Callithrix jacchus: one gene and its partner. The protein of the gene in region 2 interacts with the protein of the main gene of each other region in a biochemical or structural test. Links are inferred from orthologs where the notes say so. Each region holds a gene or a part of one and is shown on either strand. Other genes may lie near its edges.

Region 1 (5,042 bases), on a different chromosome or scaffold from region 2:
CCTCTCTCACATGATCTGCAAGTGTAAAAATAAAAGGAAACTCTTTTCAGTCTTACTACTGCACCCATTCCTTCTTTTCTGGTGAGTTGGCCCCTTCCTCAACCACATCTTAATGTTCAAAAACTGGATTTATAAGAACAATTAAAAAATAGAGAAATATTTCATTCTTAGTGCATGTCTCTTAGTAGCAAGCAAAGAAACCAAGAATAGCCAGGGCGGCTTCTCAAAGAGTATGCCCTTCTACATCCATCTCTAAACTTTGATGAAAGGGACACTTCAATATAATTCAAAAAGCTCATCTTGATGAGAACAAAGGAAAAAAAGTTATGAATAGTTCACTGCTCTTGAAATGTCAGACAGGGTACAAGTAGGTAGAGAATACGGTTCATTGAACGTATTTCATCTTTAGACAGATAAGAACTTAACAGGGCCACCAAAAATATGCAAGCATATGAGTCTAGCAGTTTATAGATATTTATATACACATATACCTATATAAAAATGAGCACATATACATATATGTGAATATATATGTTTGTCTTTGAACAGAATCCCTCTAATGTAAAATTTCCCTGCTGATTAATTGGAGCAATTAACATTCAAATTAAAGTGCACCTAATCCCTGAGCTGTACTGGTTTGGCAGAGTTCTGTCCCATGAAAGCTTTCAAATTGGCAACCTTGGCTGACTCTGTAGATGACAGATTTGCTCCTGATTCATCAGATGTAAATAAAGGGGAAAGGTCTTGGTGGTCACTTGAGAGATAGGCCTTTAATTTTATTCATTTATATTCAGTTCGTTCTGATTTTACTATTGGTATTCAAGACTGATTCACTTTCTGTTAATATAGTCTTGTCCAGAAGAATTACTGGAGTTATCATAATACTTTAAAAATACATATGCTGGTTGACAGTGGCTTGTCTTACACTAAATTCCCAATCTTGCTGGAAAACATACATACACTTGTTCTTTCAAAAAAGATGAAACATATGAAGGGCTTTACAGCATGGCTTGGTACAAGTAGATCTTACTTCTTCCAAAAAGAAAATGCTTCTTAAATATTGAAAAATGAAATAAAAATTGAGAAATGAAATATTTTCTTTTACACATACTGCTGCAAATCATACTGTGAAAATATTCACAAGAAATTACTAAGTGCAACTTTAATTATAGAAGGTCATTTCATTTCATTTTATTTTTGACACTTGAAGTCAACAGTCAATGCCACATGTATGGTAACCAAGAACTCCAACTTTAAATGTTCCTTATAATGAGAAATTGTATAGGTTTTGCAAGTTCATAAGATGTTTAAAAGAGCATTAGATTACTTCCTAAACACACCAAGGCTGAAAGAATATAGAACCAGCACAGAAATGTTAAGTTTCAGTGGGGGATCCAACCAGAGCCAAGCAGTCATAAATATTAAACTCTCCTCAGATCTTTGTAAGCATCTTTTCTTTTCTAAGAAGATATATTGCAAAAGAAAGCTATTTAATGTTGATGTACATCCTACACTTTTTATTCAGCTTCAAGAAAACAAACATAAACAACCAGCAGCCCGATTAATTAGATTAGTATATTATAAACCCAACTACAGGCAGTCTAATGAAAGACTGAACTGAGTAGAGGCCAGATTTAAGCTCTGCTTTTCTTGAGGGAAGAATGCTTGGGGTGATGTGCTTTACATTGTAAGAGTGACCTCTAGTGCATTTCTTTTTAGTTGAACTTTAGTGGTTGGAAGATGAATTACTTATGCCTTTTCTACACAACTTCCATTTGTGTGTGGGCATTTGTCTTGTCGTTATTTGCATGTATGTCGAAATGTTTGTCAAATGCTACCGTTATAAGATTCCAAGGTTTTGACTGGTGAAATTATACACAATTTACTGATTCATGAGATTATCACAACATTCAAACTAAAGTTGAATCCAATGTGCAGCACCTGCAGTGAAGTTCCCTTCTTTCAGAGTGATGGATGCCCTGTGACATTAAATGAGCTCATTCTGAATGGAAACATGAAATCGCGGGAGCCAGGCTCCATGAGCCGACATTTGATTTGTGCCCATGAATTTGTAATGTTTTTCCCACATCAGAGCTCTTTAGTATAGTCAAGTGATGTGCCACAGCAAATGCCTGATGACTGCTTCTGTTCCCCAAATCTGAATCTGATGATACAGCAGCACCATAAATTCCTCGACAGGCCTCCTAGCCCTTTCTTGAAAAGCAAATAAGTTTTACTTTAAAATCCAAGAAAAAATAAAAAGTTGTATTTGCCAAACTTGTTTGTCATTCATCAGGAGGGGGAAAATCTCCCATTTAAAAAATTTAAGCCAAAGGTAACTTTTAAAACTTTTTCTATCTTTAATGAAGAGTGGTCAAAGGGAGTCTGCCAAATTATTCTGGATGATATCTCAACTGTAAATAAGGTTTCAATCTTCCCTGAATGCATTGTATTTCATCAGAACATTCAATTACAAATTTTTGTAGTTAAACACTCAACCATGAAATAATCCTACTTTTGAAAGATCACCTGACCAATTTTCCTTTAAGCAAAATGTAGGAAGAGGCCCCTCTTTCAGGAGAGTGCTAAGTCTCATTCTCATAGCAGCGAGGGCACAGCTTTTAATACTGAGATTTGCCTCTGCCAGAGCTGGTGCTCCTCAAGTCTGCAGTACATTTCAGTTATTAGCCTGCATCATTTTAAAGATGCAGCCAGCTACTGGTCTGCCCAATTGCAAACTTCAGAAATCTAAGCCAATGCAGCATAATGTAAAGTCTGATGGTTGTTTTCCTGTTAGACATAATTCCAATAAAATTCAGTAGTTCCTTAAAGAGGAAGAAATCAAGACATTCACAGGCTATTCCCAAGATAAGATGTTAATTTCATGTTTTACTAGAACTTGGACATTCTCAATGAATATTCAAAGACCAGAGGGTAAGATTCTGCAAGTAGACAAAAAGAGAAATGACACTTTGCCTATTTTGACCAGATCCAGAGGAGAGACAAGTGTTAACCGGTCACATTGGCAAGATTTTTAAGTGATGCTTCGTTTACAGCAATATGCTTTGCAGCAATCCCAGCTGCAAATCATCATCACCAAAACAACAGAATCAAAGTTTTGCAGAGAGCCCCCCTGCAAGTTTTAAATCATTTGCGGTATACTTACAGGAATTCCCAGCTTCGACTCTGTTCCAATTTTGAGTAGATAACAGAAGTAGCATCTTGAGGACAGCTCCCGTGACAGATCCCATGTTCACATCTATTGGGCTCCCCCAAAAGATCTTGAGAGGCTCTCGGAGCGCTCCAGTCCTGTTCTCAGTCGCTCTCCCAGCTCTGTCTGGGTCTTCAGCCCCTCTAGGTCTCTGTCTCTCTCCCTCCCTTCCTCTTCACCTCCCTCCGTTTTTTCTCCTTCCCTCCTCCCTCTCTTCTCTTGCTCTCCGTCTCTCTCTCCCCTTCTCTCTCTCTCTCTCTCTCTTCTGTCTCTCTCTCACACACACACACCGCCCTGACTCCTCACTGAAAAGCACTCAGCATCTTTCCTAACAAGCATCCACATCGCCGAGGCCACGCCCACTCCTCGCAGCAGCGGTCCCAGAAATTGGCAGCAGTATCCTTCCTTCCAAACACACAACAGGGCTCGGAGCTCCGCCGCTCCCGGAGGTGCGGCCTCCCGCTCGTGGGCCTCCTTGGGGCTCCCTCCCTTCTCCTCTTTTTTCCAATAATCCTTAACCCTTTTCTCCCAGCTGGAGGTGTGGGTGGGGGAAGGGACCAGGCGGTGGAGCCTTCTGATTTTCTGGAGATCCTGCATTTGGCAGAGCCAGGCAACATACTGAGCTATTCCTGATTATCCGGGAGTGCATCCAGGTAAAATTGCATTATGTTTCAAAACAAAAGCATAAAATAAGACAGAAATAACCAAGCAGCATTGGGAAATTGTAGCTAAAACCGTCCTCGGGGAAAATAACTTGCTGTTGTTTTTCTCTGTTTCTATACAACTATACTCTTCAGCGAGGGTGCCAGGATTTTATTATGGAAATTCCTCACATGGGAACAGACATTCCTGCTTGGCAGATATTTAAAATTATCTGGTTATAGTCGGCAAGAAATTAACATTTCTTATTTTAATCCTTCAGGTGTACAAATCCACAAATGAAACATTTTGACTAGAATTATTTTGACAAATGAATCATGCTGTGACTATGCAGTAGCATTCTATAATCAAAAATTTTAATAACATTTCCAAAAAGGCCCAAAGTAGCAAATAATGGAATACTGAAGAAAGGGACCCCCCTTACACATACACACACGCATACACACTCACGCCAACACTGAGCAATGTGATAATGTAATTCAAGTGGCTTAAAGGAGAGAGGAGTAAAGTTGAATTCGAAAGATCAATGACTAAAGAAAAATTGCTCTTTGAATGGCTGGTCCATGGATACAACTATTTCTTGAATGGAATTTTAAAATGTCTAAATAATGGAGTTACTAACACATAACAAGAAGCATGTCACATGGTTCAAAGCAGAAAAATAATCTATTTAAAATAAATGTCAAGAGGTTTTACTGATAATGTGCTAGATTTTATAGAAATGGAAATCCTGGAGTTCTCAAGCACCTCTTGGTAATTACAAACTGGAAGATACATAAGCCTTTAACAACATTTTCTTATGGAATGATGAAAGAGTGGGGAAATGACAGAAATACCCATAAAAACTAAACGTACTTATTTGGCTCATGCCTGCAAACAAAGCAGAATGGATAGTTTTTCTTTTCCTATTTTACAAGAGAAAACAAGAACAGGGACTATAAATGAGTCAAAGAGGTCATAGAGTTAGTAAGTTAATGCTGAAGACTGGACTTGTTTTTTTTTTTTTTTTTTTTGGACTCCAGTTTCACCGTTCTTTACATGACTTATTGCCCCTAAATCAGGGTATACCTCCTTTATGACCCTTATCAGTGGCAGCAAAAAACTTAGGCCCAAGGAAAACAAAGCAAACACTTTGGGAGACCAAGGTGGGGGGAATCACTTGAGGTCAGGA
Region 2 (4,486 bases):
GCTATGTTCTAGCTAAGTCTTTCAGGAAAGGCCTGCAGGACCAAAAGAAATTGTGGGATCTCAGTCTACCTGCAGTGCCACAGCACTTGGTGCAGAGCCATTAGGGTCTACAGGTGATGTCATGGAGGAGGAACATTGCAGTCACACTGGCCATGCAATCAGCAAGTCCCAGTGTGCTCAAAAGACTCCACATGGATGCTTCGTGTCTTAAGAAAATCTCATTTCTTCTCAAATATCCACATTTAATTTTCCTTTAAGTAGCTCTTTTTAGCCTTATAAGTATCAGTTCAGATTGAACAGGAAGTATGCTCAGGTATGAAAAAGCATCCATGGACTGAAAAGAGTTTCCTTCTTTTTCTAGCAACTAGCATATGTGAGTTGCTTTACCTGGGCTCTGAGGAGGGACAAACTCACCTGCATCATAGTCAGGGCCACTGAGAAGGAAAAAGTGCTCTCAGATTTGAAGGATTTTGGTGATTTTTTAACAGGGATGGTAAATCATGCCAAGTGCATCTGGCTACTAGTGATTAGATTCCTGAGCTGAGGCCATTTCTGTTGAGGCTGAGTCTGGGCTTAGTGGGAGTGCGCTGTGATTGACTAGTGATGCCTGTGATGGACGTGCTGCTATCAGAAAGTAGTGTCATGTGAATCAAATATGCTTCTCCTGATCTAAATGAATTTCAGGGAAGAATCTCTAAACAGTAACTTGATGGTAGGCTTCCTGAGTGCAAGTCCACGTCTTTTGTGTTTATGTCTTTCTTGGTGCCTGTTCATATACATTAATGACTGGATGGAGGCCACACTTCACATCACTTCAGGTCTACCATAGAAGCTGATTTTCCCCATATTCAGGTACCTTAATAATGCTCTGGCAGGTGGACAGAGGCAGGCCCACCAGGCTGGTGCCATTAATGGACATGATCTGGTCACCGATATTCAGCTTCCCAGATTTCTCTGCAGGGCCACCATGCATCATGTTGGCAATGATCACGGTGGGGAGGATGGATCCCCAGCCAGACTCCACAATCACCACACCTAGGATTTCTCCTTTTTGCTTCTCTATGAAAACCTGGAAGGAGACATTTAGAAAGCCTGCATCAGTAACCATCTGGGGTAGGTAGAAATCAAAGCCTCTCCCCCATTCCTGTCTTGACTAAAGAAAGACACTTCCCTGGGGACTCCAACCCAGATGAATTCATCTTCTCGGCATTCTGCACATTTGGAGATTTTAAGAAATGAATTCACCCAGATCTACACTCTTTTAATTCACTTTTGTTTCACATAAGCAAACTTGCCTCAGCGCACAACCATGAGGGTCACTATTTTTTTTTAAATTTCTTCAGTCCTCAGTGGCAGGAGAAGGGGATCTGTGGGTGGTTGGTGTGTTATGGTTTCTAGAAATAGCTTTTCAAATTCATGCACAGGTTTGCCCTCCCACAGTGCTTCACCAATTCTCTTCGACATTTAAGTGTCTTGAATTAAAAATAAATAAACATACAGAAACACTTCTCTTCAAGGGGAAAGTTGAGAAAAAAGTGATGCTGAAGTTAACACAATCAAAAGGCTGGGTGTGCACAGAGGAAGTGCATATCTTGGATACAGAGACGTTTTTACAACCTTCATTGCCAGGCCAGAGAAGACAGAAGTTGATGTTGGATACCTGCACTTGAGGGAGGCCTGCAGAGATGCCACAGAAAGGTAACACACCTACTGGAAGCATCCAACAAAGAGCATGCATGTGTATTTTTGGAGGGCTTGACAATGTCCCCTTCACAGGTTGGTGTCTGCTTCCCCTAGTTGCTGAAGCTCACACTCAGCCCCTTCCCTGGAGAACTGTCCTTAGTTGAACGAGAAACATCTGTTAAGGTTCAATTGTGTCCCCCCAAAATTTGTATGTTGAATTCCCAATCCCCAGTGTCTTAGACTGTGCCTTTATTGGAAAAAAAGTATTGACAAAGGTAACCGATTTTAAATGAGGTGATTAATAGGGGCACTAATCCAGTATGACTGATGTCCTTACATAAGAAGAGGAATGGTTGTCTGTCATGGGTATCAAAAAAATAAGAGGAAATCTGGACATAGAGACATGCATAGAGAAAGCATGATGTGAAGATACAGGGTGAAGAGAGCCATCTACAAGCCAAAGAGAGAGGCTTGGAACAGACTCTTCTCTCATGGCCTCCAGAAGGAACCAACGCTACTAACACCCGGCTTTCGGACTTCTGGCCACAAGTTCTGTGAGACAATACCTTTCTGTTGCTGAAGTCACCCAGTTCATGGTACTTTGTGATAGCAGCCCTAATAAATTCACATTACCCACTGTGTAGTCTTGGTCAATGACTGGCATGGTGTACAAAGGCTTGCCAGATCCCTCGCTTCAAGGTGAGACAAATCTGTCCTATACGATCTGTGCCCTAGAGCTTCCCTCTGGCTCAGAAGGAAGCTCATGCCAAGGGGACCACACCCTTCCTTGGTGTCCCACCACCCTGCTTCCCATATCCCTTCTGTTCTTAGGTACTCTCTCAGTAAACTTCTGCAACAAGAATCCCTGCCTCAGGCTCTGCTTCTGGGGAATCTGACCTAAGACACCTGACAGACCCCAGTGGATCAAATGATCACTTTCTCATTAAAAGTTCTTTTTACCTATGGGATCAAGTCCAAACCTCTCAGCAGGACTTGTAGGCCTTCCAGTCCTGACCCAGACCTCAGGTCCATCTATCTCCTTTCCTGTGCCCACCTCCTGCTCTAGCCAAACCATACTTCCTCATTTCCCAGATAAATCTGGAGCCTTCTGACCTCCAGGCTTCCAACCATTCCATAGACCCTACCCTTGGCTTTCCTCTATAATCCCCAATCCTCCAGACCAGCTCGGATGGCCTCATCTTCTTACAGGCACTTCTGAAGAGCTCAGTCTGAAGCCACAAGACATCCCCAGAGGAGCCCAGCATCTCTTCTCTAAAACCCAAGATCTCTGTTTGTCCAAGTGTAGTTGGCTTTGATTAGTGCTTTTTCAGTGCCCTTACCTAGATTGAAGGCTTTGTACAGGCAGATTTCAGGTCCTATCTGCATCTGTGACCCAGCCAAAACTTAGATCAGGATGACCTTAGCTCAGGATGACCAGGAGCAGAGGATGTGCTGCCTCTGTGTTTACACCTGTCCACGACAGCATTTCACAACAGGGCCCCAAAGCAGGGAATGAGAGATGGGTGTGAGTATCTTCACGATATCCTGACAATACCTCACTCCTAACCCTTGATCTGCCTTCACTTTCGCAGCAGGGTGTCCCCCTTTCCAGGCCCCTGCCCAGCTGACCCAGCTTGGAGAACAGCTTCAGGAAAGTACCCACATCTTTGCAGTTTTCCGACTTGGAGAAGTGGATCAGGTCATCATTGTACATGTCCTGGGTATTGAGCAGGTCACTATATTCCTTCTGGCTGAGATCTTCGGGGTTAATCCCATTGGCCCTGAGGAATTCCTGGTATGCCACACTAAATGCCTGTCCGATGGACTGTGCAATCAGCTGAGCCTGGAACAGCAGCCAGAAAGGAAAGACGGTCAGCAGGGCAGTGCACTGCTGGAGTTTGGAAGAAGTCCTAGACATTACACTTGCTGGGCCAGTGGTTTTACATGGGGCCACCAGTGCCCACCAGGGGCCATTTTCAAAATGACTGGGAGATGGGTGCGGTAGCTCATGCCTGTAATCCCAGAACTTTAAGAGGCCGAGGCAGGTGGATCACAAGTTTAAGAGATTGTGACCATCCTGGCCAACATGGTGAAACCCTGTCTCTACCAAAAATATAAAAATTAGCTGGGTGTGGTATATGTGCTTGTAGTTCCAGCTACTCAGGGGGCTGAGGCAAGAGAATCACTTGAACCTGGGAAGTGGAGGTTGCAGTGAGTTGAATTCCCACCACTGCACTCCAGCCAGGCAACAGAGCAAGACTCCATCTCAATAATAAAAAAAAAATGGCTGGGGATGTTTTTGATTATGACAATGATCATAAGGGAGCTACAGGCATTCAAGAGACAGGAGTCAGAGATGCTGAATGTCCTGCCATGCAAAAAACAGCTTGATATAGTGATGAGTCATTCTACACCCTGCACCATCTTCACAGATCCCACTGGACATTCATGTATATGCAGTACCTGTTTACAGTTATCTGAGTCCAGGATTCAACTTCAATTTATACATAAATGCCAAGACTTTGTGTGGCTCTAATACACATTGAACATTTCAAGAATAATACTGTGTAAATTAAGAGAAGATGGTATTTTGCTTCATTTAATACTTCACCAGGAGGAAGCTTCATGACTATGGAAAATCAACATAATAATACTGTGTAAATTAAGAGAAGATGGTATTTTGCTTCATTTAATACTTCACCAGGAGGAAGCTTCATGACTTTGGAAAATCAACATCAGTGCCGTTTGGGATCTCTGTTGCTGATAAATCACATCCCTATAACCCTGAACAGTTTGCTGTTGT

Evidence for each region.
Region 1: the proteins of APBA1 (region 2) and CNTNAP4 form a complex in vitro, tested with the Homo sapiens proteins (2 studies listed by BioGRID and IntAct, with this or other methods). The link is inferred for Callithrix jacchus from reciprocal best matches to the Homo sapiens genes APBA1 and CNTNAP4.

What each region holds. Positions count from the first base shown.
Region 1 is NC_133521.1:33,671,208-33,676,249, reverse strand, and holds the start of CNTNAP4 (contactin-associated protein-like 4), read right to left. Parts: upstream 3,526-5,042; 5' UTR 3,252-3,525; coding exon 3,167-3,251; intron 1-3,166. UniProt on the Homo sapiens protein: Presynaptic protein involved in both dopaminergic synaptic transmission and GABAergic system, thereby participating in the structural maturation of inhibitory interneuron synapses.
Region 2 is NC_133502.1:95,473,072-95,477,557, reverse strand, and holds part of APBA1 (amyloid-beta A4 precursor protein-binding family A member 1), read right to left. Parts: intron 3,527-4,486; coding exon 3,347-3,526; intron 1,070-3,346; coding exon 857-1,069; intron 1-856. UniProt on the Homo sapiens protein: Putative function in synaptic vesicle exocytosis by binding to Munc18-1, an essential component of the synaptic vesicle exocytotic machinery. May modulate processing of the amyloid-beta precursor protein (APP) and hence formation of APP-beta.